Rhinolophus ferrumequinum: one gene and its partners. The protein of the gene in region 4 purifies or fractionates together with the protein of the main gene of each other region. This does not show direct contact. Links are inferred from orthologs where the notes say so. Each region holds a gene or a part of one and is shown on either strand. Other genes may lie near its edges. The genes, in order: USE1, SCFD1, SCFD2 and STX18.

The links.
Region 1: the proteins of STX18 (region 4) and USE1 purify together in Homo sapiens (co-immunoprecipitation; 4 studies listed by BioGRID and IntAct, counting the BioPlex papers as one, with this or other methods). This does not show direct contact. The link is inferred for Rhinolophus ferrumequinum from reciprocal best matches to the Homo sapiens genes STX18 and USE1.
Region 2: the proteins of STX18 (region 4) and SCFD1 purify together in Homo sapiens (affinity purification with mass spectrometry; 5 studies listed by BioGRID and IntAct, counting the BioPlex papers as one, with this or other methods). This does not show direct contact. The link is inferred for Rhinolophus ferrumequinum from reciprocal best matches to the Homo sapiens genes STX18 and SCFD1.
Region 3: the proteins of STX18 (region 4) and SCFD2 purify together in Homo sapiens (co-immunoprecipitation; 3 studies listed by BioGRID and IntAct, counting the BioPlex papers as one, with this or other methods). This does not show direct contact. The link is inferred for Rhinolophus ferrumequinum from reciprocal best matches to the Homo sapiens genes STX18 and SCFD2.

Annotation. Positions count from the first base shown.
Region 1 is NC_046301.1:50,451,775-50,459,515, reverse strand, and holds USE1 (vesicle transport protein USE1), read right to left. Parts: upstream 3,469-7,741; 5' UTR 3,454-3,468; coding exon 3,313-3,453; intron 2,984-3,312; coding exon 2,934-2,983; intron 2,773-2,933; coding exon 2,694-2,772; intron 2,607-2,693; coding exon 2,454-2,606; intron 1,912-2,453; coding exon 1,899-1,911; intron 1,520-1,898; coding exon 1,492-1,519; intron 1,221-1,491; coding exon 1,046-1,220; intron 797-1,045; coding exon 614-796; 3' UTR 597-613; downstream 1-596. Other genes in the region: MYO9B (unconventional myosin-IXb), read right to left, coding at 5,831-6,246, 6,367-6,494, 7,207-7,346, 7,692-7,739.
Region 2 is NC_046289.1:79,696,477-79,703,934, reverse strand, and holds the start of SCFD1 (sec1 family domain-containing protein 1), read right to left. Parts: upstream 3,470-7,458; 5' UTR 3,414-3,469; coding exon 3,371-3,413; intron 1-3,370. UniProt on the Homo sapiens protein: Plays a role in SNARE-pin assembly and Golgi-to-ER retrograde transport via its interaction with COG4. Involved in vesicular transport between the endoplasmic reticulum and the Golgi.
Region 3 is NC_046288.1:15,955,291-15,963,263, forward strand, and holds the start of SCFD2 (sec1 family domain-containing protein 2), read right to left. Parts: upstream 3,077-7,973; 5' UTR 2,950-3,076; coding exon 2,112-2,949; intron 1-2,111. UniProt on the Homo sapiens protein: May be involved in protein transport.
Region 4 is NC_046288.1:83,038,095-83,045,945, forward strand, and holds the start of STX18 (syntaxin-18), read right to left. Parts: upstream 3,391-7,851; 5' UTR 3,285-3,390; coding exon 3,117-3,284; intron 1-3,116. UniProt on the Homo sapiens protein: Syntaxin that may be involved in targeting and fusion of Golgi-derived retrograde transport vesicles with the ER.

The DNA of each region.
Region 1 (7,741 bases), on a different chromosome or scaffold from region 4:
GAATGGGCAGAGGCCAAGACCCACTATTCCCCTGGACTCCCACTCACGATCCATTCCAGGGTCCCAATTCCAGTGCCCACCCAGTTATCATCTGAAATGAGACTATGGCTTGGGCAGAGCAGGGCCTGCACCAACCGTGCTGTTTGCTGAGTAATGGTGTGAAGCACATCTGCAATATCCTGAGAACTTAGGCTGTGCTGAGCGCGGCCCTTGAATTATCACCTTCAATTGCAAGGAAGGCCCAGCACCAATGTCCCTCCTCCAGGCTGACTTCCAGGGATGGCCCCATTCCTTCTCCACCCTCCAGGTCTCACCCCGACTCCACAGGCTGAAGGTATTGTGTTTTGCTCTGACTCTACCACACTGGGGACTCCTAGGGCCTCTAGGGGCCCCACCTTGTCCAGTGTGGGGTAGGTACCAGTGGGAAATGGGGAGGGGGTTGCTGAGCCACCACTCCCGCCCAAAGCCTGATCTTCTTCCTCCCCTGCTCAAGTACTCTCTGGCTCTTGGGGACCTCCAAGGGCCTTCCTATCTTGTTGTCCACCCCAAAGGGTACATCTGGACAAGGGTGGAGGGCAGACAGAGGACAGATGGGGTGGGCTGGGCCAAGTCTTTATTTGAGTTTGGGCATGATACGGATGAAGAGGATCATGCTGATGAAAATGAAGCAGACTATGATAAGCATGGCCCAGAGCAGCCAGTTGACTGACTTCTGTGCGTGCTGCTCCAGCCGCTCTGATTCTGTCTTCAGCTTCTCCAGGTTCTGGTCAGCCATCTTGAGTGAATGTGACAGGGTCTGTGGGTGAGGTGGGGCGGGTTATCAATAGGACTGGGATCGAGTGTGGCCTCTCCCCACTGCCCTGGGGCAAGTCAGCACCTCTTGGCCCTTGCTTGCTGGTGCTGTCTCCTCTGCTAGGAATGCCATTTCTTGCCTTCTACCAAGCTCCTACTATTTATCCAGCCAAGCCCCAGCCACAGGACCCCTCTGCTGGGAAAACTCTGATGCCCCAGGGCAGAGGCTGCAGAATCCCCATAGTCCTCACACCTGGTTGTCCTTCTTGATGACACTCTGGGCGGCCAGTGTGTTGGTCTTTAGGCTCCGGGCCAGATCTAGCATTTCTTCTGCCAGCTTCTCCTGGAGGTTCTGGTGTTGTTGCAGGACGAGGTCTAGCTCGGCTGCCGACTGCTTCTCATCCCCTGGCCTGGGCCCTGCCACCCCACTGACCCCACACGTGGGTGGACGGGTGGACATGAGATCGTGTGGAGGAGGGGAAGAGACCAACATGTTCCCAGGGAATCCACAAGTGATGGCTACAGCCACTGTCCTACTTGGGGCTCAGTTTCCCCTTCTTTACTTTGGTTTCTGGGAAGAGCATTCTCAGAAGTGTCAACTGATGGGTGGTTTAGATGTTTGTAGTGGCGCCTCAGTGGCTCAAGGTTTGTCTAGCCCCCCTGCCCCCGCAGTTCTGCCCAAGGGCTGAAGATACTCACATTCTCTTTCTCACGTCCAGCGCTGGCTCTGGAAGCAGAACAGGCCAAGCAGGAAGGAGAGGATTGGTTTCCTGTGTTCCAGCTTCCTAAGCATTATGGGTCTGCTACCCATAAGGCCCTTGCCCATCTTGTCTGCTGCCCTCTTGTCTGGGATGTTTTCCTCACCCCCATCTGGGTTTTCTTAGGCCCCAGGTCCCTCCTTCCCTCCTGTTTCCTCTGAGGGCCACCTCCTCTCTTCCCAGACCCCCTCTAGGCATGACTTGGCGATGCCCCCAGGGATGTTCTCTCTGGGATGCAGAGGATCCTGTTGCAGCTAGATGAGGCACGAGGGATGGCGGGCAGCAAGGACACATGTCCTGTCCCAAGCAGCTAAGGACTTGAGTCCTGTTCTACTCAGGGTGACTCACCTCCAGCAGAGTCCTGTGGGAAAAAGCGACAGGCAGGAAGTCACCTACCCTGTTATGCTCCCAAACCTGTCCTTTCTGCTCTCAGAACTTCTGAGCCCTTAGTCAGGGACCTAGGCACGTCCTATGACTTCTGAGCCTCAGTTTTCTCATCTATAAACTGGTAATGACAACAGCTTATACTTTGAAGGGTTTCGCTGATTTACGTAAAGTGCTCAGAAAGGCACCTGTCATCCTATTTTACAGATGAAAAAAATCTTGTCTATTTGTGTAAAGTGGGAAGCTAGGAGCCAAACTCTCCTAGCTTGCACAGGGCCAACTCTGTGGCTTAACAAGATGCGTACCACTTTTGCCTTGTACCAAACAAACTCATTCCTCTAGCAAAGCCCTGGCTACAATGCCCTTCTTTTGGGAAACCTTGTTTTATGGCCTAGGGCAGAGGCTGTTGGGTCCCCTAGGGTCCTTGTACGTGATAGTATTTGTTGTTCTGGCCATCCCCAGGCACTGAACTCCTGTCCCTGACTGAAAGGTTCCCAGGGACCAGGGAGGGAGCCCTACCGTGCCTAGCAGCTCGCTCCGCATCTCACTGGTGTACCGAGCCCGTGACTGCAGGTGTACAGTCTTGGTGGCGGGCACCCGCTCCCTGGCTGTGGTTGGCACACGGCCAGGGGCCAGGAACTGGTTGGCTAGCGCCTTCTCAGAGGAGGAGGTCTGCAGAAGAAGGAGGAGGAGTCACCAGAGGGGCGGGACTCAGGAGAACATGATAAGGGCCGAAGAAGCAGAGGTGCCCCTGCTCACCAGCTTCTCCGCCTGCAGCATCCCCTTCAGAAAGTCTACCTTGCGGGAATATTCATTGATCACCTCGGAGGCCGGTTTGCTGGATGACGGGAGACGTGGAAAAAGGAAACCTGTCCGCTGTCCCCAGTTCAGAGAAGCTGTCCCAGCAGGGATGGAGCCCAGGGGTCTCCCAACAGGAGAGGGCCCCCTGGCCTCCACTCCCACCCCGGATTTAAAACCCCTATGGCCGCCTGTACTCACCTCGCTTGGAGTTTCAGGGCCTGCAGCATGTTCTCGAGGGCTCCCACGTACTGGGGAGAGAAAGTGGGTGTTAGCCGGGTCCCCCGAATAACCCCCATCCGGCCCGAAGAGGGGCAGAGACAACAAAAGGCGGGGCTAGGACAGGGCGGGGCTGGGAAAGGGGGAGGGGCCGGGAAATAGGAGGGGCCAGTTGTCAAGGAGGCGGGGCCAGAAGAGCCCAGGGACGAGGGCGGAAGTAGCTGGTGGACGTGGCGGAGCCGACCGGAAGGGGCGTGGCCAGAGCGTTTGGTGGGGCGGGGGAGACCGGCCTAGTGGCTGTTAACCCCGAGGACCACCCTACCGGAGTCGGGCTCTACGCAGCAGCCCGGGCTCCCCTCACCTTCTCCAGACGCCACTCGTCCGAGTCCCGCTTCTCTGCTGCCATCGCCTCGCAGCGGCACAGCAACCGCACCAGGTTCAGCTCTAGCCTCGACGCGGCCATCACCACCCGGCGGTACCCCGCCCCTTCCGCCGGCGACATCTTAAGCGAGGGCGGAAGTGCCTTTACTTGACTTCCTTCCGGGCTGGCGTGTCCCGCTCGTTCTGTCTCATCTTTGGAGCATAAGTAGTCTTGTTTCAAGGAGTGGCCATCCCATCCATACTTAGGGCCAAATCGCCTGCTTTCCTCGCGAACATCTTAACCCCTCAGGAAGGGTTGAGGACCATCATTCGGTGTCAGGCCCACATGCCGCTTCCTCTGCTCATTCCTTTCCCCTAGCTCAAAATTCCTCTACTACACTTAACCCGTCTAGGTTCTTCCCACACTGAGCTCTCCCGCATCCAGGCAGCCTTCCCCGATTTCTCCTGGGGGTTAGGGAGAGAGCCCTTGGCCTGGGACTTAAGAATCCGAAGCTTAGGGGACCATCCAAACTTCTGCGGTTAAGAGCTTCTGGGTCCCAGCTCTGACTCTGACTCCAACTCCCGCCATTTCTGGGCGTTTCCTCCCTTGGGAAATGGGCAGTGGGACCGTGTCTGCTTGAAGCGGACACAGGTTAGCCCTGGGAGTGAGAGGTGGGGCCAGGTCACCCCTAAGGCTCAGATCCCCGTGGGAAGAACCCAGTCCTAGCCCACTGGGAGCCAAGACCCATCCTGCGAGCCCCCTCCTGGAGTGGACAGGGTGAAGATGGAGGCTTCACAGGGATGACTGTGGCATGCAACACCTTTATCTTCCCAGACCTCAGATCACCTATGTCCCAGTCACATTAGTGGGCCTGGTGTCCTCAAAGGATACAATGAATGAGACCAAACCCAGGGTGGATACAGGGAGGCTCTAGAGGCACCCTGAGTGGGTTTTGAAACCCAGCCACACCCCATCCCAGTGGTGTGACCTTGGAAAGCCCCCCAGCTCTCCCGCATGTGTAGTCTGGACTCCCATTCGTCACTGCCCCCCACTTGCTAGCCAGTTCCCACTGGCTGCCCGCCCTCAGGGACGCCATCTACTAGCCAGGTCCCACAACTGCCCATGTTTGCAGCCTGGGAGCCTGTCTGTGGGAAGGTTGCTCCTGGCTCTGTGGGGCCCACCAGAAATTGCCCTCCACCTCCATCCCAGGGCAGATGGCCCAGCTGGGGGAGGCCGGGTGGTGAAACGGCAATGGGGCAGCTCCTAGGACAGCAGGCTTCTCTCACTGAATGCCGCTCCAGTAACTCCCTGCTCCCCCTGGTTTCTGGATCAATATGCACGCACCTCCGGCAGGCCCACCTCGCTCAGGTGAGGATTATGTGTGACATTCTAACTAACAGCAGCAGTTTGCTGGAGGATCATGGCAGGTCCTCTGAGACAAGGCCACAACCCCGAGACTGCAGGGTGTACAACCCCGAGACCTGCTGGCCTATGCACCTCCAACCCCAAGCAGGTCTGAGCAGGAATCACATGCAAACACTTTTCAGGCACTTTTTTTTTAATTTCACATGGTTTGTGGGGCACCTCTTTCCAGACGGGGGCCATCTGTCCAGGTGTCTGGTGATGAGCGGAGCCTGAGAGAGGGGAGCCCTACTCCAGAGATCCCCAGGCTGTCACTATAGGCCTGTAGGGACACGCAAACACAGGCCTTGCTCTCCCAGCCTGTGAGTGGTCCTGAGTCAAAGGCTCCAATTCTACCATACGGTGTGGGCAGTGCCAAGGGCAGCTTCCTCCAGTCAGGGAACGGTGGACAGTGGGGTGATGGCCACATTCGAGTCTCCCTGGATGTGAAGTCCGTGGTGCCCTGGGTAGAGGCCATCCCCCACCTTATGTCCTGGCTCCAGCCAACAGCCTGGATCCCCATGGAAGACTCTACTGCTCCTTTGAATGCACGTGGGCCAGGCAGCCGCTGGCCGGGTCACAGGATGAGCGCTGGACAGACTCTGGGCAGTCAGGTGCCCCAAATGTCCAAACCCTGCTGCAGGGTCCTGGTCCATGGATGCCCCCTGAGCTGTCAGCGCGGGCCTGAGCCTTCAAGGTGGGGTGGCTTGTATGGGCTTTGCTCTTTAGTCTTGTGTCCAGGTTATAAGGGTGTTAATATAAAAGTTTTACATACACATATAAAAAACAATTTGGTCTTCTGTTAAGGCTGTTACAGTTTAAAAGTTATGTAAACCAGGCACAAAGTAACAGTTACCGTACAACCGTACAAAAGGGGCAGGTGGGAGAGGCCAGGCTGCCTGCCAGGATTCAGAGCTCTGGGCAGTGCCTCTGTGCAATGTCGGGCGTCAGCCCCAGCCGGCCTCTCGCTGCCTGGACTCTGCACGGGGAGCCGGTGCCCACCTCACATCGCTCTTGGAGCTTTTCATTCTGGATCCTTCTCGGAGAGCTGAATGCTGGCTCTGGAGCTTTGGCACAGGGCCATCCTTAGAGGTGCAGATTCTGGCACTGCAGACCCTCAGCCGTTAGCCTGGCCCGAGGTGGGGGGCAGGCAGTAGGTTGGGGGGTCTGAGTACCTCCGCTTGGCCCCAGGCAGTGGGTTGTCCTCGTCCAGGGTCTCCTCAGTGCCCTGTGCAGGCAGGTGAGCACCCGGCGTGATATACACAGAGTGTACCTGGTCTGGGCGGCGGGCAGGTGGCTCCCGGCGCCTCACTGAGGCGGTGGCCTCATGGGCACCTGGTGCCCGGCCAGGGAGGTAGGAGGGCAGGCCGGGTGGGAGCTTGATGTTAGCTGTGGGCATGATGGGGGTCCGCCGGGGGGTCTTCACTCTGACCGTCACGAAGGACGACGGCCTTCGTCTTGGAGGGGCAGCCACCTCGGGGAGGGGGCTTGGGGCAGGCGTGCTGGGACTAGGGAGAGCAGGTGCGGGGAGCCCTTTTGAGAGACAGACAGCAGGGTTACTGTAGCTTCAGGGCCAGCAGATGGACCCTCGCCCTGGGGCCTGCCAGGGATGGTCACGGGAAGGAAAAAAGCAGACACTACCTTAATACTGACCTTCCAAGGTCCCCCGCCCGGCTCGCTCTTCTAACAGGCTCTCGGTGCTGGCTGATGTTTCTGAGTCTAGGTTCTCCTCGTCGGAGCCCCGAGGGTCCAGTTCTGGCAGCCGGTAGGTGATGTCCTCCCTGGGGTGATGGGGGTCACATGTCTAAGGCTGTCCCAATGGTGAAAGACCACCTCATGGAAAGTGCCCGGATGACAGGATCCTGGTACTGGATGTCCTGGTACTGGTGTCCTGGTACTGGATGGGATGCCCCGCTCCCAGAACCTCCCACCTCCAAAGCACCCCTGGCCCAAAATAACCCCCGGCCATGGAAAGCTCATGGGAAGAAGGTGTCAGGGTGCTGAGGGCAGCCAGGCATCTGGCCCAGTACTGAGCAAATGAGGAGCTCCTGCATCAGGACCTTTGCATGTACTGTTCCCTCTGCCTGGAGCACCCTACTCTGTAAGACTACTGTGGCCAGGTGCCCTGGCTCATGCCTGTTCTCCTGGCATAATTTTTTAATAGCACTCCCTTTCACACTCACATTTCAACTAGACAACGAATTACTCGGTTACCCTAGCTAAGGACACCTTTAAGACAAAATCTGAACATCACCCGTTGCCCTTCCTTTCCCTGTGGGCCACCATGGTGCCCTGTGGTCAAGCATAGGGTTTAAACAGAGCCCCAAGCTGTGTTTTAGGACAACAGCACTCCACGAGATGGGTCCTGGACGAGGGACTGAGCTTGGCCTGTCAGCCTCCCTAACGTCCAGGTCCCCTGTGCACAGTGGAGGGACCAGTGGATGGGGGCTGGATGGTGCAGACGAGGGTGGGAAGGGGACAGAGGACACTTGCTTCTCCTCCTTGATGGACTGGATCCGCTCAATGAGTATCTCCTTCTCCCGGTCCTCGTCGTCACCAGCTGTTTCCTCCTCTGGCAGCACCCCCAGCTCTTCTGGGCCGCTGCTGCTTCCCCGGGCTGTGGGGCTCTTGTTCTGCAACAAGAAGCGGCAGGTCTGGCCGGCCTCTCTGGGCAGGTGGGGTCAGTGCTTGTGAGTGGGGAGAGGGTGGTGTGCACAGCTCCGGGGGAGGTTAGTTCTGCCGTGGACGGCAGGCTTAGTGAGGCTTCTCCAGGGGCCATGTGGGGATCAAGTGGCCGGTGCACAGCTGGTTAGTGTCTTCAGCAGAAGTGGATAGCAGGCAATGGGTCTCCCCCAGCATGCACTTTTGGAAGTTTAGGACGTGCTGGGCCTATCCTACGAGGATCCCAGGGGCCGAGGGAACCCCAGCATGCACTGCACCAAAGACATGCAGGGTGGGCCAACCAATCGAGTACATACCAGGACCCCCTCATAGGGAGACGAAAACCCCAGTTTGAGAGGCCATGGCT
Region 2 (7,458 bases), on a different chromosome or scaffold from region 4:
AATGTTAGTACCTAATGCCCAGCCAATAACAGACATTGCCAATACTAATTCACACCTACTGCAGAAGCGCACAGGTGTTACGGTATTACATAAAAAATACATAAACAAAAAAAAACCATGTTGGTATTTAAAACAGAAATAACACAGGAGGCATAGAAGGTGCTCCAGGATTAACTCTCCCACCCTACTTTAGAAAAGCTTTTCCTCCCACCTCCAGGCAACACACATACCACCCTGGCACTCATGGCCCAAGAGAGAAAAATCTTATTTCTAGGAACAGCTGTCACACTCTTGACAGAGGACAACCAGGAAGAAGCACAGCCGGAGCTGCATGGGAGCCCCAGATGTACGGTGTTCTCCAGAGACTGCCTTAGCTGGAGGGAAGAGTCAGTAAGAGCAGGCATTTGCCTTCTCAGCCCCGTCTAGGTGAATATCCCCAACACTGAGCCTCGCTAACTTATAATAGGGATTCTGACCACGTGGATTTGTTAGTAAAGTACAAGCCTGTGTTCAAATAACACACAAGAATGTAATTTCACTTTTATCAGAGTAATTCCCCAAAGGCTTAAATATTGCTTTTAACTGAAAAGACAAGCTAGTTTTGTTTATTAACCCTGAACATACTATCCACAGTCCCAGACTTGGTTAAAGTAGTTTCACCCTTGCGTGGAAAGTTTTCTTCACTCATTCGCTATATACTCAACTATATTTACTATTCATTCAGCAAATGTTTAACGAGTGTTTACCATCTGCTGGACACTGCTCTAGCTGTTGGCACTAAACAAAACTGACTGAATAAAAATTACCTATCCTCAAAGAGCTTTCATTCTAGTTGGGAGAGAAAGACAACAAAATAAGTAAAACATGTGGTATGTGAGATCATGATAAGTGCTATGGAGAAAACAAGGAAGGGAAGGGAGGAGAGGGAGCTGTGGTGTAATTTTAAATATAGTAGTCAGGAAAGGCCTCCAGAGAAGGTAACAGTTAAGACCTAAAGGAAGTGAGGGAGTGAGCCACAGATATCTCTGAAAGAATATTCCAGATAGAGGAAATGGATACAAACGTTCTGAAGGGGGAACACTCTGGTTGTTCAAGGAGACGGGAGAGCAACAGGGAGCCAGTTCAAAAAGCTAAGTGGGTATCAGGTCATATAGAGCCTTGAGGATCACTGTAAGGTCATTTTGGCTGTTACCATGATTGAAACAGGAAGCAGTTGGAGGGTTTTGAGCAAATACGTGACATTTGAGTACGGTGTGAAGAAAAATGAAGAACAGGGATGTAAAAACCAGGAAACCAAATAGGCAGTTATTGCAGAAATTCATGGTGGCGTGGACCTGAGTGACAGCAATGACAATGGTCAGATCCTGGAAATATTTTCAGAGTAGACCTGACAAGATTTACTGACAGATCTAACGAGGGATATGAAGACAGAAGTCAAAAAAACTTCAAGGTTTCTGACCTGAGCAACACAAGGACGGTGTTGCCAGTAATTGATACGGGGTAGACTGAGTTCGGAGGTGAGGGTCAGGCTGGAGATATAAACTTGGGAATCCTAAGTATATAGAGAGTACCTAAAGCCAAGAGGCTACATGAGATCACGAGAGAGAAAGCAGTTGATCTGCGGCTCTCTGATGTTAAGAAGTGGGACATTTGGGCAAGAACCTGCAACAGAGAGATATGCATGAAGAATAACAGTAACAGAATTCCGCCTACAATATTTGAGAATTGATTGTGAGTCATTTCCCAAAACATTCTCAACAGGCATCAGGGGGAGGTCAAAAAGTTAATCTTTTACAACTATAACCTTCTGCTACTATAGCACATATAAATGGGTTTTCCTTTCTCTAGAAATAAGACAGAACTCAACTAGAGTACTAATTTGATAAATGATTAATCTGGCATAAACTATCTAGTAACGATGTGAAATCTTCTATAATGAAGTTTATTTCCACAGAAATCAAAATTATACTAGATTTAAAATTTTACAAATTTCTGCATATAATAATTACCACCAAATTTCATTTTTCAAAAAGTTCCTTTGTATTGGTACCATCTTCCTTCACACATTATTTTCTTTATTTTAATATGTAGTATGACCTAATTCACTGAGCTTCATTAAGTTAAGTGGGGCTTCTATTTGCTTACACAGATAAAATGAATGGCAGGTACTCCCCAACTCTTATTTGGACTTTCATATATTTAAGTTATGTCTGACTTAATCTGATAGATTATACAAAGTCATCTATTGGGAAAAGCAGATCGACTCATGAGATAATGCACTGCATCATTATTAGATTGAAATCTGTCATTAATTTTCTTCTTTGAATTCCAAAGGCAGGAATCAAGCAGAGCCAAAATCCCTTCTGCAGGTCATATAAATTGTAATTAATTATTTTCCTATTCAGATTTATATGTAAAATAACATAATTACAAGAGACATAATTTCCAAGAATGCACGCTCTTGATGGCTTATTTCTATTCACTCCTCAGAATTAATAGCTTGCTAACTTTCAAGACAATTAGCTAACAAGTATAAACCATTAGTTTGTAGCTAACAGGTATAATGCAAGTTGTCATCAGAAGTTTATAAAAAAATCAGGCAAAACTAAAAATATCTAAGATGGAAAAAATATCAAAGCTCAAGGGAAGAAATGTCCTTTTTAAAACTACATTTCACTGTATAAACGGAAGGTATATAAATAACCATGCTCTATTGAAGATGAAACTACTAATACGTAGTTTTAAAACATTAAGTTGTCAGATAAAATGGGAAAGCTAATAATTCATTTGTTTTGTTATTCTTCAATCCCATTCCAGCAAGCTGAAGAAGGAAATCTTTATCACCAGACATTTCTCTTCAGGCAGCCCCACAAGATTGGTCCAAAGGAGAGAAGTTGCAGAACGTTAAGCTGCTCTGAAAATACTTAAATTTTGTAATAGTGGTGGAAGTGCCAGAATATGAAACTCTTTCAACATTAAAAATGGGAGAGACCTGAACCACCCACAGAAACAAACCCGGAGACCTCATAGGTGACAACACAGAGGAAAGAAATGTCATCTTGCCAGATCTTGTCATGAAGATGACAAGGCCCAGTAGGAAAGAGACAAGAGCAGGACCATAGCAACCCGCCCATTCCTGAAGCGCCTTCTGCAGCACTAATGAGGGGCCGAGTTCTCAAGTCAATGGCATCTCTTCCATAAAAACTGAAAAGGGGAGGGGCTGTCGGTGCTTCGAAAACTGGATTGAACTCGTGGAGGTCTGTCTCCCAGGGGCATGCAATGCGACCGAGTGAGGGTGATAATCAGAGGAAGAGGCCATCCCCATGGCAGGCACAAAACCGCACGGAAAAGAGGATAAATAAGTAGGTACCTGTTTGTCTCTCGCGAATACTTGCTGCTGCACTCGCCGCCATCTTGGCTCCCACCAGCCACTGCCAGGCTGGCCAGCGTAGCCGGAAGATGACGTGACCGCCGCAACCGCCCCGGAAGCAAAGCCCGGAGGGGCGGGGCCAAATGAGGTTCTTGGGAGCCGGACCCCGCCTCTTCCAGGGTGACCCTCCCACGACCTCAACTATCCACAGAACTTGGGGAAGCAGTAAGGGTGTTTTTTAGCGGCGGAACAGGAGACGGTTTTATGCTATCTAGTCGCCACAGCCTCTCAAATGGAAGCTGCTTTAAATTGAGCTGTCAGGGTACTTGCGTGGTGTAGCGCTATGAGCTAAATACTGAACTAACTACTGAATTGTTTCGTCGGTTACAGATCTCTAAACTGGTGAGAATACTTAGGGGTTTAAGGATCACAGGACCAACGTAAATGAAGCTCCGGGAACAAAGTAAGCACTTAAAGGCTAGCGCTAGCCTCTTGTTTCCTCTTGGCTCTCTTTGGGAACAGGCGGCGTTGGAGCACTGCTCTCATCTGGCCGATTTCTCAATCTCATCTGTTTTCTCATCCTCAGGTGTTCTCATGCACACTTGAAGCCATGTGATGACAAAATGTATACAATATTGATTCCTAATTTAATCTATAGTTTACTGGATGTCAAAAATGGATACACAATGAGAACTCATTTCCCATGTGGTCAGTAGAGTTCACTGATGATCCTGCATTAGCTGTTGAGTACGTTCATTCTGAAGCTGCACCAAATTTTGAAACGAAACGAAATTATAGATACTGCGCCCCAAAAACTGTTTTGAAAACTTTCCAATTTATGACAAAATCAGTTAAAAGATACCGTAGTGCAATTACACAAAAAGCACTGATTTCTCTATTTCACAAAATGTTTATTTTCATGAAACTTAAGACAGGTGATCTTATTTTTAACACCATTAGGAAATGCCCTAGAATTGAATCTACATTCTTTTTCCTTTGCGTGATTTTTTTCAGCTTTATGGAGTTATAATTGACAAATATTTGTATGATATTCAAAGTATACATCGTGATTTGATTATATATACATAATTTCCCCCACCTAATGATCACATCCACTATATATGAGAACTTTAAAGTTATACTCAATAAATTTATGTAATGCAGTTATTTTATATTACCGTAGATCCTCAGACCTATAGTCCCCTTGTTATATATTAGATTCTCAGACTTTATTCATCTTAAAACTGCAAGTTTCTTACGGCATCATGACTTGTATAGGGAATCTTAAGAGAAAACTCAAACTCAAGGAAACAGCAGCAAAATGGTTACCAGTAGCTGGGAGCTGAGGGCAATAGGGAAAAGTTGGTGAAGGTTATGAACCTTACCCCACATTCTATAACAAGTGCATTACCTCTCATTTTTACAGCTAATTGGCATATTCACTAAGAAATTAACTGGAATGTTGACTGTTTTATTCAGTGCTATCATCAATATTTTTAAGGAAATCACCGATGATTTAGATGTGTTGTGATTTAACAGAAATGACGGTTCCTGCCCTATAGGAAGGTTCTACTTCATTTTTTGTCTTCATGGTATATAAAATACACAGGCTTTCCCACCTTTCAACAACTGAGGGCCCAATCATGTTCATTTCCGTACTTACACTTTCACACGCAAAGCTATCACCTCACCATTTCAACTCCATAAGCCTTTTCCCCTAAGACATGAGTTATATTAAAATGCTAGGGAAATGTTAAACATTCCTATAGAGTATGGACATATGAAATGATAACAACTGTCCTGACCAAGAAGTGTATAGTATAGGCAATAAATGTACAGAAAAATATGCCCCACAGGAGAACAGTGGCAGTAGACTATAATAGTCTCTGTAAGGCTATTTGTTACATATTAGAATCAGAAATAACCAAAATAAACTCATGGCTTCAGTGTCGGTTATCCTCATTTACTGTGTATCCGTTTAATTGACTCCACCTACCCAGATTTTAGGCTTAAATAATTTATTCTGGCAAACTATTATTTTACATTGGGGGATAGTTGACACAAATACCTCAGAACAGCTCATTCAAGAGGTTCCTAGGTGTCAGCCAACAACTGTTTGCAGATCTTGCAAATGTGGAGAAGAAAGGATCTTGTATCTACTTAATATCGCCAGAACCTTAACCTTGTCAAATCCTACCAAGTTAATTTAGTTTATATACGCATTTCACGTTTAGTAGCATAAACATACTTATTTAGTAGCATAAGCATACTTATTTGTTTGTTGCTATATCTGACATCTTTAAAAATGGGGGGAAATAGGCGGACACATAAACTATTACCTAGCCCACCACCTGGCATACAGTAGGTATTGGAATATGTTTGGCAATTGAAAGATAATAGTCAAAATGAGAACTTGAAAAGAGGGTCTCTTCGAAGAAATCCAAATATTCCTAAACTACATGTGATACACATTCAAATAATCCATCATTCAATGTGTTCTTATGCTTTGTATTGCATTATTTGAAGCATAACAACTAGTTTAATAGCGTATTGTAAAAGAATGAAGCATGTGACAATCACTATATAAAAGGATTTACGTATTTATAAATAGAATCTTGTCCTAATCAGTTCCTTATGACTGAATGCTAAAGGCAAAGTCACTGAGAAAACTTACCTATTATACTCTCCTTAGCATTTAGCATTGAGTACAAAAATTCTACTAGCTTCCATATAATTAAGGAAAAAAAATTATGGAAAGTTTTGGTGTAGAGAGAGAACAAAGTGATTTCTCAGGGTAGTAACCAAATGAAGGCTTTTTACATTACCCAAAGAATGGCTATTCATAATATGCAAATTAAATGATAAAATATAAAATCGTAAGCTAGTTTTGGATATTTTAAAGATCTTTACCTTAAGTACTAAAACAACCAAGTTTACGAATAGTAGAGGATTGTATAAAAGGCATTCAGTTGAAGTTCTCACACCAAAAAAGTTTAAAAACTTTAAGAACAATGAACGTAAAACTAACCAAAGACTATTAACAGTAGATGCATAACAGGCGAATTGTTGGTTTTCCTTGATAGAGCAATAGAAAACAAACTTGAAATATATGGCATTTAGACAATTTAAATATTTAAGAAATACATATATACATTTATAAAGATTTATAGCATAATTTCTTTTTAAAATCAATGTAAGAATTGTGCACACTATAACAATGAATGGAAAAAGAGCAATCATAATACCAACCATCTGACAAAGTAACACTGCAGAAAATAAATAACCCAGTGGTTTCTGAAATGCTCTGACTATACAGATTAATCTAAAAAATATATTAATGGAACATCCTTAAAACCAGAAAACATTTTTCAATATCAGTATTTATGCTTCACTTTAAAACGTGAATGTCAATTATTATTTACACCACTTTATCCCAAAGGCCCTGTCTATGCATAAGTGAAATGAAGAATCTGTTTTTAATTGCAGCCAAGCCAAGCACTCTGCCTCCCTCCCACTCCTCCCCATCCAAAACGTGTGTGAATGCTGATCAGCTTTAATGACCACTGTAGGGGAAATTAATTAAAACTACAAATAACCAGAAAATAGCTTCAATTATTTTTTTTTGTTTGTATTGGTTTAATGACTTTTTAAATTTTATAAATACAAGGTAGGTTAAGAAATAAAATATCCAATTTATCAACACATTTGTAATTAAAGCTATATGGCAAGTTTGTGGTTTATATTCAAACTTCTTTTTATAACAGGTCCTTTAATTACTTTCAGTAATCTAAATTAACACAAGACAAGGAAATGCCTTGTTTAATGTTCTTAAAAACTTCAAATGAAAGTGAAACTTTAATTTGCTGGGTCTGTTAGTAAATGTAACAAAGAAAATTACACTAGGATTATGTTTTCATTTTCCTTTGGTATTAAGAGACATTGCTAGTATCAAATCAATCCTGTTATTTTTCTTTAAAAGTTATCAGTAACTTAAGGATGTTTCTTGGGGAGGATGAGAATATGATAGCTGATAGCTGCTTTATGTATCAAGAAAAAATGTAATTACAAACAAGCAATTTACCTCTCAT
Region 3 (7,973 bases), about 67 Mb from region 4:
CCTGTACCCACCATGTCTAGCAGGCAACCTGGCACCCAGTAGGCTCTCACTAAATATTTGCTAGATGAAAGAAAGAACAAATGAATGAATGGTAACAGTTTGCAATGATACAGGCATTTATAGACTGCTTTCTGTGTACCAGGGACTTTTCTAGGTGTTTTACATGTATTAACTCTTTTAATAGTAAATGAATTAATGACCTCAAATTGAAATTCAAGACCAACGACCGTTCAATACTTTCCCAATAAAACCAACTTATCTTTCCAAAAGCCATCATTGCTTAGAAGACCTCATACCAACAATGGGTGGGACTTGGCCCATTTACTTGTTTTGATTCCACCCACTTCAAATTAATTAACATTTTGCTTCCTATCGTCTATCTCTATCTCTCTCTTTTGTTTTTGCTATGTTATATTAATTGGACAAAAGAACTAGGTAGAAAAGACCAAACCGGGATTCAAGGAACTAACACCATCATCTTCATCACAATAGCTACCGTGTATCCCCCAAAATAAGACCCGGTCTTATATTAATTTTTGCTCCAAAAGAGGTATTAGGGCTTATGTTCAGGGGATGTCATCCTGAAAAATCATGCTAGGGCCTATTTTCCAGTTAGGTCTTATTTTCCGGTAAACACGGTAGTATTTATTGAGACTTTATGATGTACCTGATATTAAGCTCCATACTGGACATCTATTATTGACTTAATTCTTACAACTCTAAAAGGTAGATATTATTAAGCTCATTTACAGAGTAGAAGATTCAATTTAAGTAACTTGCTCAAGATTACACAACTTATAAATTACCAACCAAGAATTCAAACTCAGGAGGCAAATAATCCCAAACCTACACTTTTTTTTTTTAAATTAGTCTCATAAAAGTGACTTAAGACAGAGCCAGCATGAGTGCTTCTAAGGTCACATCTGATGTTAAAGAAAAGAGTTCTTGTATCACCAGTAGAACATTCATTGATTAGAGCTGGTGGGAACCACATCTTATTTATGTCGTCTGTAATTTATGGTTGTCTCCCTAGCACTCACCCTACAAGTTCCTCATTAAATACTTGCTGAATGAATGTCTAATGATGCGGGGGGGGGGGGTCAAAAATCTCTGAGTGAATTATATCTTTAAGCCTAGAATGGACATAGATTTTTTTAATACTCATTTAAGGAAACTGTCATGCAGGGACTCTGGTCCCGCTCCCCTCAACAGAACATAGGACATGGTGAGGCCAAAAAGGAACAACAGAGCCATAGATAGGGGAGTCATACCACTATATTCTCCATGGCGGCTGGTCGAGGCACAAAAGCAAACATCCGCCAGTACCCCAACAAGGGGTCTTCCTGCATCCCAGTCTTGCTGGCGGCTGGCCAAGACACAGGAAGTAGGATCCACACGATCCGCAATCCGCCATCCACACTTGCTAACCCCACTTGCTAGCCTCAATCTGCCATCCGCTTCTCCGCCAACCAACCAACCCCTTGCTAACTGCAATCTGCCCTTGCTAGCTCAGCCACGGCAGTTATATCAGTGGCCAATGGCTAACTGGTTACAGCCGATGATCATCTACTACCCGAGCCAGCACTTTTGCATGTGAGGCTGAAAGCATAGAAACTGCTCTCTGTCCCCACAAAACCTAAAACTCAACTAACTCTCTGTGATAATTTCCTGTTTTGTTGAACAGTTTCCTTCCACTAAATCATCTGTTAACACCTCTCCAACAAATTAGAGCCCTTCTATGAAGGATTGTTGGGAATACGTGCATCTGCACATTCCTAAAAGGTTCCCAGGTAGACATTTCTCCTCGGTGTCATCATAATTATATTTTTCCAATCTCTTGGGCTAGATGCAGTTGTTGTTTAACAAGGCCGTGCACACTGAAGATGTATTTATTCATTACAGCTTTTAACACACTGACTAATGCTAATTTGTTTGTCTGTATCTCCGTCTAGATTGTAAACTCTGTGAGATTAGGGACTGTGTCCACCTAGTTCATCTTTGTATCTTCAACCTGACATATAGTAAGAGGTCAATAAAATATACTCTGAATCAATGAAAGTATCAGAACCTTGGAGAGTGGTTATGAAGCCCTCCACAGCAATCCCACTTACCTGTGAGATCCAGAGTTCTGTCCACAAAGACCACTGATGCCCTGCCTGCAGAAGTCCTCCTCCTGTTCTTGGCAGGGGCATAATTGGCCAGATCTGCAGCGATGACCCTACTGAGGGAACCTACAGCAAAACACTCCTCTCGGACCCCTAGGTGCTCACACAGAGAACTGAGGCCTGACACCAGGCACCTGATCTGCAGTAGCAGCTCAGGGGTCAGGGCAGTGGCATCCACCTCACCCAGGCTTCCCAGCCTCCTCTTGTCCGGTCGGGCACTGTTAAGGAGATGCACATCCTGGGGTAGCAGTGGAAACAGGGAAGCAAAGGCTGGAGTCAAGGCAAGGTAGGGAGCGGCAGGGGCGAGCAACAGTGGGGCGTGAAGCACCTCGGCGGTGTAGTTCATGTTGCCCATCCACTCACACAGCTTCTCTTCTAGTTGCTCGAACACCGGCTGCTGCCCCTCCAGCTCCGCCGCTGCCGCGGCTGGCACGTGATTAGCCGTGAGGTGGACAGCGTGGTTCACAGTCGTGACCACCACACAATACTGGAAGTGACTGCGGCAGATGATGTTCCGTAGAGTCTCCACGGTTCGGCCTTTCAGTAGGCAGCTCAGCACAAACACCGCCTTGGGCTGCTTAGCTCCGCCACCGACTGCTGCGGGCTCGAACTCCCGCAAGTAACACGCAGGTCCCCCCACCGCCTCCAGGAGCCGGGTGGATCCGCAGCCCCAGTGCAGGCTTTCGGCACAGGCGGCGTCCAGGTAGACCACAGCCCGTTTCACTTTGGCCAGCACCTGCTCCCAGCCCTGCTGGGTAAACGACTGCACGCCCGGGGCGCTCATAGTTGGGAATTCGCAGACTCGTGCACACAAGTACAGAAACTTTCTCAGAACTCACAACTTCCGGGAATTGGGCTCCTTGACACTTTGACAATCAACACAAGTTACGCGGTGCCGCCTCTTACTTGTCCAGTGGCTGCGCACGGTGATGACGTCAGCGGAGCGTGATTGGCTTGCGGGGAGACAGCTCCAGGAAGCATGCTGAGGTGTGGGAAAGAAAAGTGGGCGAGGCTCCGCGGCTCTCGGGGGTCCTAGGAAGCTCAGGGAGGCGAGCTGGACATCAACTTTTAATGAACTTGTACAATATGTGTTGGGCATTGAGGATATAAAGAGAAGTAAGCCACAGTCTTGCCTTTAAAAGAATCTGAATTAAAATGACCCACACAGGCAAAGCAAGTGCAATAAAATGTTCCAGAAGCGATGACCTTTTTAATGTATAAGAATTACAAATGAGAGAAAATAAATTCTGACTGGGTGAAGTAAAAAGGGGAAGTGGTTAGGAGTTTCATATAGGACATAAGTTTTGAGTTGCCTTCAAAGAAAACCAGGTGTTCACCAGGTGGACAGAATGGGGAGGAGCATTCCTGGCAGCCCAGGCAGAAAGTGCAGCATGAACAAAGTCATAGCGTGATGAAACCATACAACGTGTGTTTTGGAACTAAAAACAGTATAGTTTAGCTAGAATGTCTTGTATGAAGAGACCCAAGAAGAAATAGGAGCTAAAACTAGAAAAGAAGTGACTAGATCAGGGTTAGTCTTATTTCTTATTCTACGTAGTAGCAGCCAAGGGGGAACTATTATTTTTAGGAGTGAAAATAATTTGTCCATATCTAGAGTTTAGAAAAAAATATTCTATTAAGGACACAGACAATAATTTGAACGCAGTAAGATTTTGAGCTGGGAGAACAGTTAGGAAATAGTAACAGCAAATACTTGGGCCAGAGTAGATAAGCATACCAGTAAAGGGATAGACAATGAGGGGTGTCTAAATAAATGTTAAGGAGATAGAGCTCAAAATCCTGGTTACCGGATTGACAGAGAGATGGCGAGGGAAAATTTCTGATTAATGCCCACTTTTCTGCCTCAGTGACTAGTAAATGATAGTCACTGAGATTTGGAAAATCAAAAGAGAAACAGAATGGGGAATAAATGTGCAGAGTTCAGTTGGGCCATGTTTTTGTTTATTTGTCTGTTTGTTTTTTTTAATTGTGACAAAATACACATAACATAAAATTCCATTTTAACCATTTTTAAGGGTACAATTCAGCAGTGTTAAGTATTTTCACATTGTTGTGCAACCAATCTCCAGAATTTTTTCATCTTGTGAAACTGAAACTCTACAGTATGTACATTAAACAACTCCCCATTTCTCCCTCCCTCTACCCCTGGCAACCATCATTCTACTTTCTGTTTTTATGAATTGACTACTCTAGATATCTCGTGTATGTGGAATCACACAATATTTGTCCCTCTGTGACTGGCTTATTTCACTTAGCGTAATATCCTTAAAGGTTCATCCATTTTATAATATGTGTCAGAATTTCCTTCCTTCCACTTCTTGTTCTCAGATGTTATGGCAGAGTCAAATTAAGTCCTGCTAAAATTACATGCTTAAGACAATCAGATATACTTCATTTAAATGTGATTTGTACTTCTGTGCTCAAAATAGCCAACAATTATTTCCCATTCCTCATAAAACCAAACATATCTCTCTGCACCTCATTTCTAAGTCCTCCATATGCATCATCAACATAAGGATTTACTAACCACTTTCTATGTGCTTGACATTGTAAAACAGGATCTGGTAACTACAGAAAAAAAAATGTTTTCATCATTAAGGAGTGTGCAGTTTACATAACAGTGTAGCTATAAGAGGAGATGATACAATTTTCCAGAAACAGCAAGCAATATAAAATTTAGTGTTAAAATATGTCAAAATATATAGGAAGATGGATAATTGAGGCTTAATTCCTGATGGAAGTATCTAGAGAAGAAGGAAACCTTTACACGTGTGTGGTTATTCAGGTTGTTGAAAGGACAAAAGGCCTACACCATAACCCACTACCTGCTTGCCTCTAACTGGTCTAATGCTTTGACATTTTTGAAACCTAATTTTAGCTTTGTTATCTTCCCAAGAAGTGAATATAAAATGTCATATTAATATATCATTTTACTGATGAGGAAACTGAATAATATTGAGATTTAAGCAACATATTTAAAGTTTGCAGCAAATAGCATAGTTGGGCCTAAATGACATATTCATTCAAAACACATTTATGAGTACTCACTATCTGCTAGATACTGAACATAGCACTGTTATTTGAGTTTTAACTCTTGTCATCATTTTAATCATCTGCTAAGCATTCCCTTTTGGTATTTCTTAGAGATATATTAAAACTGTTGCTTTGTTGTTATTGTTGTTTTGCCAGGAACCAACAGATCACAGAAAAATAAAATAAAATGGGACACAAATATAATCAGAATGTATGGAGTATTGTAGTTGGATAAGGTCATAATTTTACACAGTATCATCAAGCTACCTCTCTTTGAAGTCTCCCCTGGTGAGTAGGAAGATAAAGATACCTTTAGCTAAGGAAGTTTATCCAGGCAAGGAATTCAATTTGGAAGCAAGAAAGGAGGAGGCCTTTTAAGACTGGTTATTAGTGATTTATGGGCTTCTCTGCTTGTGGAAATCCTCCTGTTCAAAGCTTAAATCAAATACTACCTCCACCATGAAGGCAATTCTGATGCATCAGTTATTATTCAGTAATTCTTCAGTTCTGTTTAAGTAATCCCTTGAAATACGAGCTCATTTCAGGCAGCTGAAAGGAGAAAAAGTCTTCTCAGCAAATGGTGATTGGTTCTCCCATGAAACCACCAAAGTTCATTATACACTCACGGAATGATAAACAGAAAGATAAATAGACAAGACTGTAAGTGATTGTCTTATGATACTCCCAAAGAGAATGTAAAACCTTCACTCCATTATTGTGAGTAAAGGCCAAGAAGATCTACTAAGTGCTAGGCACCATACCAGGAATGAGAGTGATTAAAAAAACGCTCCATTTGAGGGAGGATTTGGTCTAATGAACAGTCTTAGGAATACAGATATGTAGTCAAATCATTACTATATGTTGTGATGGACACATTCCATAGAAGCAGCACAAGGTCTACAAGGGAGTGATTAGCTCTGCCCTGCCCGCTCCCCAATAACTCTGACCTCATCTACAGCCTCTTCCTCCCTCCCTCTTCAGCTACATTTGGGGTTCCTCGAACACACTAAGTATGTTGTTGTCCCAGAACCTTTGCGCTTCCATACTCCCTCTGTCTGATAGGACTTCATCCAGCAATCTACCCAGCTTACTTTTTCTTTCCATTCATGCCTCTGCTCTTGTATCACCTTATCAGAGTGGCCTTTTCCTGACACGATATAAAATTGCACCCTATCCCTCTTCATTACCCCACTCTGGGTCTTCCTATTCTGCTTACTTTTCTTTATAATCCTTATCACCGCGTGACATATGTTTAGTGGTTGTCTCCTCAGAATGAAAGCTTCATGAGAGGAGGACTTTGTCTTACTCACTGTCGAATCTATTAATATGTAGCCTAGAAGAGTTCCTGACACTTGTGGAGCCTCCATAAATATTTATTGAATGAATAAAAATATGGGAGGAGATAAAGTGGAATTCAGGAAAGAATTCATGAAGTTGATTATGTTGCAACAGAGTTCAGAAGGATGCAAGAGATTATCCTAAACAGATTCGGGAGACTGGGAATAGCAGGTAGAAGAGTGTTCAAAGGTAAGGGGGATTGGAGCAGCCGGATGGCTCAGTTGGTTAGAGCGGAAGCTCTCAACAACAAAGTTTCTGGTTCAATTCCCACATGGGATGGTGGGCTGTGCCCCCTGCAACTAAAGATTGAAAACAGCAACTGGACTTGGAGCTGAGCTGCGCCCTCCACAACTAGATTGAAGGACAACGATTTAGAGCTGATGGGCCCTGGAGAAACACACTGTTCCCCAATATTCCCCGATAAAATTAAAAAAAATTATAGAAAACAAAACAAAACAAAAAGGTAAAGGGGATTAAAACCATATGATTTGTTTAAATAATACAAAATGGTGTCATATTGGTGGAATGTAAATACTTTGTATGTGCTTCTATTGTATCATAGTCTCCTTTTCCCCTTGTAGGAGAGTTAGTTGTTTATCACCCTTTCTCTACAGAGCTCTTTGAGGGTAGGGGCTATGTTTTACTCATGTCTTTATTTTCCAAGTTCTTAAACAGCAGATGTCAGTAATTGCCAAATAAATGAAAAAACAATATTTACTGATTAGAGAGTATGTAAACATATTGATTTTTGTAATTAAAATAGATTTCTTTCCGTTGAAAAGTGAGTGTCCTATTTGAAAACATCATAACTAAAAGGGACTTTAGAGATCATCTCATTCAAATTTCCCATTTTATAGCTGAGAAAACTGAAGCATAGAAAGGTTGATTACCTGAGGTCATGCAACTATGTTATAGTTGAGAACGAGAATACCAGTTTTGACCCATCATGTGTCATCTTCTTGAAGGATGTGTTCTCAAAAGTGGCCTGAAAATTTGGCATTATCTATTGACTTAAAAACTGCACATACTTTATGACATATACACTTGTATTATACAAATGTGCAAGAAGTCATGGACATAGGTCTTCATTGTAGGGTTTTTTGTGTGTTAAAGTGAAAAGTTGAAAGCAATTGTACATCATTTTATGAGAGCTATGCTATAGAATATTATGAAGCACTTAAAAATGGACATAGTTTGACACATATGTACTAACACACAAGGATCTTTAACACACTGTTGAGTTAAAAAAAAAAAGCGATCTGCAGAATACATACAGTATTGTATCCTTTAAGACTAGTTAACCTCAATTTCTCCCACAAAAACAATACAATCTACATGAAGTAAATGTATAAAAAGTTTCAGAATGATTCACACACACAAAAAAACAAGGGCTGCCTCCAGAAAGGAACGTAGTAG
Region 4 (7,851 bases):
GGCGGGCAAGGGGGAGGCATTCAGGCACTGCGCTGGCCACTGTGGGGACATTTCCGGTGCTTTTGCCGCCCAGCATCCCTCACTCCACACTCCTAGACACAGCACTCCCTTTTCCAAAGTCCGGGCGGGGCAGCAGTCATAGTATCCCACCCACCTACTGGGGTGGACATACCACCTGGCCATAGGAAGAACCTTATCGCTCTGATGCCACAATGAGAGCTCAGGATCCAGGCAGAATCAACGAGTGTCCTTTCCTGGGTGTGATGGGGAAGAGCCAGGGAAAGAAGGCCCATGCTGTGTTTCCAGCTACATCAGCCAAGACATTCCCATTTGGCTCAGGTGAATTACCTGACTAGCTCACCGTTACCTGCAACTATAAGAATTCACACGCATGCAGGGGCCAGCATAACTTTTCTCATTTCATTTGTACAACAACCTTACAAGGTTGCTCTTACTTGCTCTATTTTAGAAGTGAGGAAACTGAGGTTAAGTAACTTGACCAACTTGACACATTAGGAAGCATTCAAATTCAGGTCTTCCTAACCATTCAGTCTCCAGTTAGGAATTCAGTATTAACTCAAGAAGAAACTCACTGCCATTCGAAAGCCAAAGAATTTGGGGTTTAAAATTGCAGTGGAAATTAAAGGTAGGGGGATGGGGGACGGGGGGACTGCGTAATAAACAGCATTAAACTGGGGTCAAAGCACCTGGCTTCCACCTCAGGCTCTGTCCTACGACCTCAGCTATTAGGACTCTGGGCAAGTCGGTTCACTTACCTGGGTGTTAGTTTTCTCATCTATAAATTGAGAAACCTAAACAACATGAACATAAGATCCTTTTAAGTATATACAGAAAAAAGACCATGGTTCCACTTTAGGCATACGGGTTCTATTTTTACTATGTGTCAGGTAAGATGTCAAGCAGATTTCAACTTGAATGTCAGGTCCAACAACTGGTAATGGTTGCCTGGGGCACAATGTTGCAAAGGAATCTGAGCTACCCAGATCTGCTCCCAGGGTCACAGGGAGGAAGAGATGCAGACAGCTGATGCTTGCCACACATTTGCCAAAGGAAAGTTGCTGTCCCCACTGATGCTATTAGTACCTGCACGAGATTTGCACCGATTCCTTCTTGCACTTATTTGGTTCCCCTTTGCAAGCAAGGAATGAAAAGTACAAGAAAGCTAACTGGTTTAGGGAATATAACTTGGTACCAATGATGAAAATAGTCTAACAGCCTACACGGGGTTGGGGGTAAGAAGTGAAGGGAAACAATAATAACCAGTATGGTTCTTTATGATATATACTCATGGATAGCCTCACAGATCCTAATAATTAGTTTATCCGTTAAGTAAGGTATTATCGTTTCTATTTTATAGAAAGAGAAAATGAGACTCAGGTAATAGGACTTGCCCAAGTCACCAATTTTAAGTAGCAGAACCCAGAACCCAAGTCTTTGAAATCCAAGTCCTAGTTCTCTTTTCATTCCCAAGGCCCCCATTAGTCCCCACAATCCAAACGAATTTACTAATCAAACTCTCACTACAAAGCAGCATATTCATCACTGTTTGGGGGGAGTTCAGCTATGAGTTCCTTCCCCAACCCCCATCTGAAATGTCATTACTGTCTAGTAAGCTTGTACTTTAACGGGTAGACATGCATGAGTATATAAATCAAACATAAGTTAACCTATCTCCACACCTTTGTGCATCCTCTTCTTGGAGCCTGAGATGCCCTTTTGCACCCTGACTGCAGTAGAACCAACAACTACTCCTCTTTCAAGATTTGTTTCAGGCAGTATCACCTCTATAAAGCCATTCTTGGCATTCAGGTAGAACTGAACACATTCTCTTCTGTGCTCTACACAACACTTACAAGGCTTTAGGGCACATGTTTGGTTAATATGTCTGTTTCCCCCACCAGTCCTTTTAAATTGTGTTATTCTAACACAGTGCTGGTCAGAAGGTAGGTGCTTAATGGATGTTTATAAATGGACTGAATGAATTCACGTGGTCCAATTTCCTTCCCGATATTTGATTGTCCTCTGCAAACTGCCACTCATTAATTCATGCATACATATATTCATTTAAAAACAGCTGAGTGTCTACAAAGTACCAGGCATTGGACTGCATGCCAAACAGAAGTGGATTTACCATGAAATTAATGTTCAAGTTTCAGGGCCCCTCCCACTTACACCTCCCAAAGCTCTGAACCTTCTTTTGTGATTTTGCATTTTAATTTCTTAAAGAAAACAGACAGAACTGTATAACCTTCAAGCTCCACAAAATCAACACCTCCCCTTGGTGCTAAGGTTACAAAAGTGAACAAAGCAAACATTCTCTCTCCCCTTACCGTTTCCTCTCCCCTTACAGAGTTTAGTGGGGAAGACAGACAATCATTTGTTCATGTTTTCATTCAACACATACTAAGCAATGCTGAGTGGGGCACCGGCCACACTGTTCCTGCCGGAAGACGAAGGTCCCTGCTCCCCTGAACGATAGCCCGCTGCGTGCAAATAACATTCTGTAACAAAGATGACTGTAACAGAATGTTTGTGAAAGATACCTTAAACCAGTCTCAAGACGTACTGATCCCTAGCATGAGCCCTAACCTATTGCAGGAGACAAGGGGAAGCGACAGGTACGCTGAACACGACCTTTGACCTCAATGCAGGGGTGCGGGGTAAGGACGGAGTGGAGGAGCAAGACAGACAAGTAAATAGAAGAGGCAAATGCACTGCGGTCAGTGGTGCGACGGGAGAGCAAAGATCTGCGGGGAAGTCTCCCCGGTGTTCACGCCTGCAGTGACGGCGCACTCATTCCCTGCAAAGCAGCCCACGACCTTTGCCGACTACCATTTCCTAGCGGCTCCTCCCCCTATGAAAAAATCTACTTCGTAGAGTTCCCCAAGATATGTCCTCATTCCTCCGAGGCTGCTACGTTCCCAGGACAGCTGTCGGCTCTCCGGGACCAACTCTCCCGTCCCCCATCAGACCACTGTTCTCCAAGCGCTTCCTTCATACAAAGCTTGCGCGACAAGGTCCGTTTTGGAGTCTGGGGTCCGCGTTCGCGGGTCCGTGCCCTCTCCAGCCCTCCGTTCCCATAACAACCAGCTTACCACTTCGCGCGCCCGGCTGGAGAAGTCGCCTTTGGGCCGGGGGCTCCGGCGGAACAACTCGTCGCGGCTGCCATCAACGCCGCCGCCCACCGCCACTCCCAGCGCCTTGTTGCGCGTCTTCACGGTCTTGACGCTGGCCCGAAACAGCAGTGTGATGTCCACCGCCATGGCGACCCGCACTTACTGCCCCCGACCCAGCCGGCCCACGTCAGCAGTAGGCGACCAGGGCGCAAGCCCAGCCGCTGGAGGACTGTTCCGGCTCCGCACGCCTCCGCCCGCCAACCCGGACGCAAGAAGAAAGGTTCCGGCCTCCGCGGGGTTACCGCCGCGAGAGGAGCAAGGTTCCGCCCTCCGCCCACGCGCATGTGGGGTGCCCACGGCCTCCCCAATCCCGAGATGCGTACCCCCGTGCCCCTTTCTTTTCGCAGACAACCTGGTACCGCTTGGCGGCACAGGAAGGTGCCGGAGCCCCGAACCCTCGGGAGCCGGCCCGGGGCGTCAGGGCCCCGGGAGCGAGAGGACGCGGAAGCCTGGTCGGCTCCCGCACTGACTGAGCCCAGCCGCGCAGGTGGCAGGGAACCACAAACGACCCGGCCTGACCTTTGACCTCAAGGGCTCGCCGTGTGCGGGACGGTGACGATCTGGGTTCAATTAGTGCTAGGGCAGAGCAGGTGTGCGTGGCCCAGAGCGAGAGGCCAGAGGCCTTTCGTTTTCAGCCTTCAGCCACCAGACGCTCAGTACCTTCCTCGGAGTGTTACTGTGAGAATTAAATGAGATTTTACACGTGTAAAATATTTGGACGCTTCCTTGGCTCCTAGTGACCGATACCGATTAGTTACCGTTGTTAATAATCTCGTTATTTATGGTGGGGAGGAACTGTCTATAGGGAAGGCATCGCTATCAGAGAAGGCAGGTTTGAAGGATGACTAAGAATTTATTAGGTGGAGACAAAGGTGAAGAACGTCACTGGTTTCTGTTTATCCCTGATACGCAATTTTTAAACATACCCTTCTAAGTCATAGTTATTTAACTTGCACGTTAATCAGTGAGCTCGTACTACGTTTTTGGTTCAGGTTCAGATGTAATTCACGAGCTCATTGATTTCATTTGTTTTCATTGTTAAAGAGGATGCACAAATAGGATATCAAAACAGTGGTTGTCAAAGAGTGGTCAGCAAGATACAATTATTTTGATAATAAGATGTTATTTGACTTTTCACTCTCAATTCTCTCATGAATTACACACAGTTGAATTTTCCAGAGGCCGTGTGACTTGTGATATTGCAAAACACTGAATGCAGAACAGCTGTCTCCTATTAAGCCAGACTTTAAAGAGATTTGCAAAAATGTAAAACGATGCCATTCTCACGGCATTTTTTGTTTGTTTTGGGAATGTATTTTTTCACAAAAATACACTATTTGTGTTAATATGTTTGGATTTGTTTTTGTTTTTAAGGGAGTGAATATTTACAATTTTAGTTTTCATGTCTAATATGGTAAATACTGATAGATAAAACCCATACAGACAAAAATTATTTAGGGCCTTCAATACTTTTTAAGAAGGTAAAGGAGTTCTGAGAGCAAAGGTTTGAGACCCACTGTGTTAAATAAATACATTTGTCAAAAATTGATGTCAAGAAAGGACATATATGGACCTGAAAGGAAGAAGGAAAACATTATTTAAAACCCAAACTATAGCAGCTTCAGCCTTTCTGTATGAAGAAAATAAGTTTCCTGCAGCCTATGGAGTATGAGAGAGAAAATGAGAAAGAAATTACAAAAATCTCTGCCAATGATTCTGTATTACATAAATGGTCCTTTGTTTTATCAAGACATTAATGAGTCTTTGGCTATGCAAAGGTGAGCCTGGGGGCAGAGAAGAAGAAAGAGTTGAATTGCTCTGCATAATGTAGTGAAGGGGATTGAATTAGGGTAAAAGGGAAACCAGAGCCCGGGGAGGAGGCCAGGAAAAGAGTGCTTCCTTGGGGAAGGGTTTTTAAGTTGGAGGAGGCTGAACGACACCACACCAACCTGCAGTGTGAGCAGTGTGTTTGGTGCAGTGGGTTTCGGCGTGAGAGCTGGGAACAAAGGTCTGAGTTTTCTTTCTGGATCTGCAAGAGCAGGGAACATTCTGAAGGTGAGACCCAAATAGGCTGAAAACATCAGGCTCTAAAGGCACAGTAACCACAAGTACCTGCTATTCCTAGACAAGTCACTGTGGAGGCCATTCGTTTTGCCACAGCCCATGGGATATGAGACTTCACTTTTTTATTACTTTATTTTATTTTATTTTACTCTTTCGACCTCAAAGAGCAAGGGAACTCCAGTTGACAGCAGACTAACAACTACCGTGTTTCCCCAAAAATAAGACCTAGCCGGACCATCAGCTCTAATGCGTCTTTTGAAGCAAAAATTAATATAAGACCCGGTATTATATTATATTTGTTATAGCATAGCATAACATATCATTATATAAGACCCTGTCTTGTTTTAATATAATTTTTTTTGTATTATATTAATTTTTGCTCCAAAAGATGCATTAGAGCTGATGATCTGGCTAGGTCTTATTTTCGGGGAAACACGGTATTTGAAACCTCATAAAGCTGAAAGGGGATATGGATAAAAAGGAGGAACAGCATGGTGAGATGCTACAAACTATCCAGTTTGATGTACATAAATTATGTTTTATAAGTAACAATGTTTCATTCATTAGGCCAGGTACTCATCTCTTGAAAAAGAGTAAGGCGTATTGAAATTCCCTACAGCTCCCGTACAGCTCCCTACAACCACACCCTCCATACCCTCTGGATAGATGCAGACAGCTTTGAATCATTTGGGGACTCTCACGGAAGTCCTTAAATGCAGCCTCTACCAAAAAGAGGGTATATTGCACATTCAGATGCCCAACCCATGATGGACAAGTGCTGTGAGTGAGAAATAGATTTCTGTTTTTGTCAGCCACCAAGATGTCATTGTCACATCCCTTAGAGAAAGATGGAGTAAGCAGGCATTTGCTGCATGGAGGGTGCCCAGTGCCTGGAAGTGTGAATTCTTACGGGGTGGCACAGGAAGACCAGAGTTTCGTGGGCGCATGGAATCACAGACTTGCCACAACAATAGAGACTGGAGACCCCCTGTGGTAGTCTGTTTCATTGTTCTCTCATAGTCATGGTCTCTCCCAAGGGTAGGACTACAGGTCCTTGACCTATTGATGAATAACCTGGCCCGGTGATTCTTTTTAGCCACAAAAAGTGATATGTGATGCAAATTTAAGAGATAACATGTGGTTCACTGTGCTCTCTTTACAATGTTTCATCGGCCTGGTCCCTGAGTAAAGATGATCCGGAGCACAGTCAAGCAAGGCTGTGTGCTGGCAATGACAAGTAAACCTCTGGTCTAGTTGTGCATGGAGATTTGTGGTTGGTTGGTACTGCAGCATAATTAGCTTCTTTTGATTGATAAACCCATATCCAGATATCTGCCAAAACAAGACTGTTGGATGCACACTTCACTTACCATCATCAGTGGGTGGGAATTGCAAGCCTTGACATCAGGCAGAGATAGAGGCCCTAGGGCTGCTGAGTATCCAGTGTCTGCTGGTAGGCAATCCCCAGGAACCACCCAGATGCGGACACCAGTTAGTAAAAGGCATCAGAAGAGAGACTGGGGAGCTACTGCTCTGTCAACCCTCCTCCATATCTGACCTGTAGCTTCTGGACCCTGTAAGGCCCAGACTTCTCTGGACAGGAATTGTTGTCGGGTACATAAGAGACATTTATTAGATCTCTGAGTTCTTTCTAGTTCAAAAAAAAAGGAATTCCAGGAAGTAGTTAGCCAAGGATGAGTAATAGGAAAAGCAAAGGAACAAACAAAAAATACATGAGATTTGGAAACTGAAAGATGGGTTTGAATGCCCGCTTCCCTATGCACTAGCTGTGTGACTCTAAGCAAGTTACTTCACCTCCCTGAGCCTCATCTGAAAAACAGAGCAACACCTATTAACCTCTCATGTGATTCTAGGAGCAGAGATTCCCTTCTAAAAATTCTTCCCCCCCCCCCCCCATGGAACCGGTATTAGTGATCTGGTAGTTGCGCAATACCCACCAGTCTGCGTTTTTCACTTGGTTGGAGCCAATCTCTCAACGTTTCTGCGCTGAGGACATTGGCTCTTTTGCAAAGGTCAGTGGGAGGCAGTGACTGGCTGAGGCATTTGTTCTGTAGAATTGCACTTCACCTCAGAGGGGAGCTAGAAACTAGAATGCTACCAGATCTCTCTCCGTCTCTCTCTGCCTCTCTCTTCTTCGATATAATTATCTTTGCAAACCTTTTTTCTCTGCTTCTCATTCACATGGCCAAACATGGGCCCCTGTCAGATCCTCAGTTTATATGTTATGCCTCTAGTCACAGATGTATCAGTTCCAAGCCCAAATTCTGAGCAAGCAGAAAAGAAAACAAAGGCCCATCTTGGTACAGACATCTACCTCTGGTCCAATCAACTATGGCTCAGCCTCCAGTCATGTGGTTCAAACCTGACTGTCAGGACACACTCTGCTGGTTAGGGGCTTTGGGTGTGTATTCGTTTCCTGTGGCTGCTATAACAAATCAGCACAAAGTTGGTGGCTTAAAAGAATGCAAGTGTGCTATCTTCCAGTTCTAGAGGTCAAAACTACAAAATCGGTCTCACTGGGCTAAAATCAAGGTGTGGGCAGGGCTGAGCTCCTTTCTGAAAGCTCCAA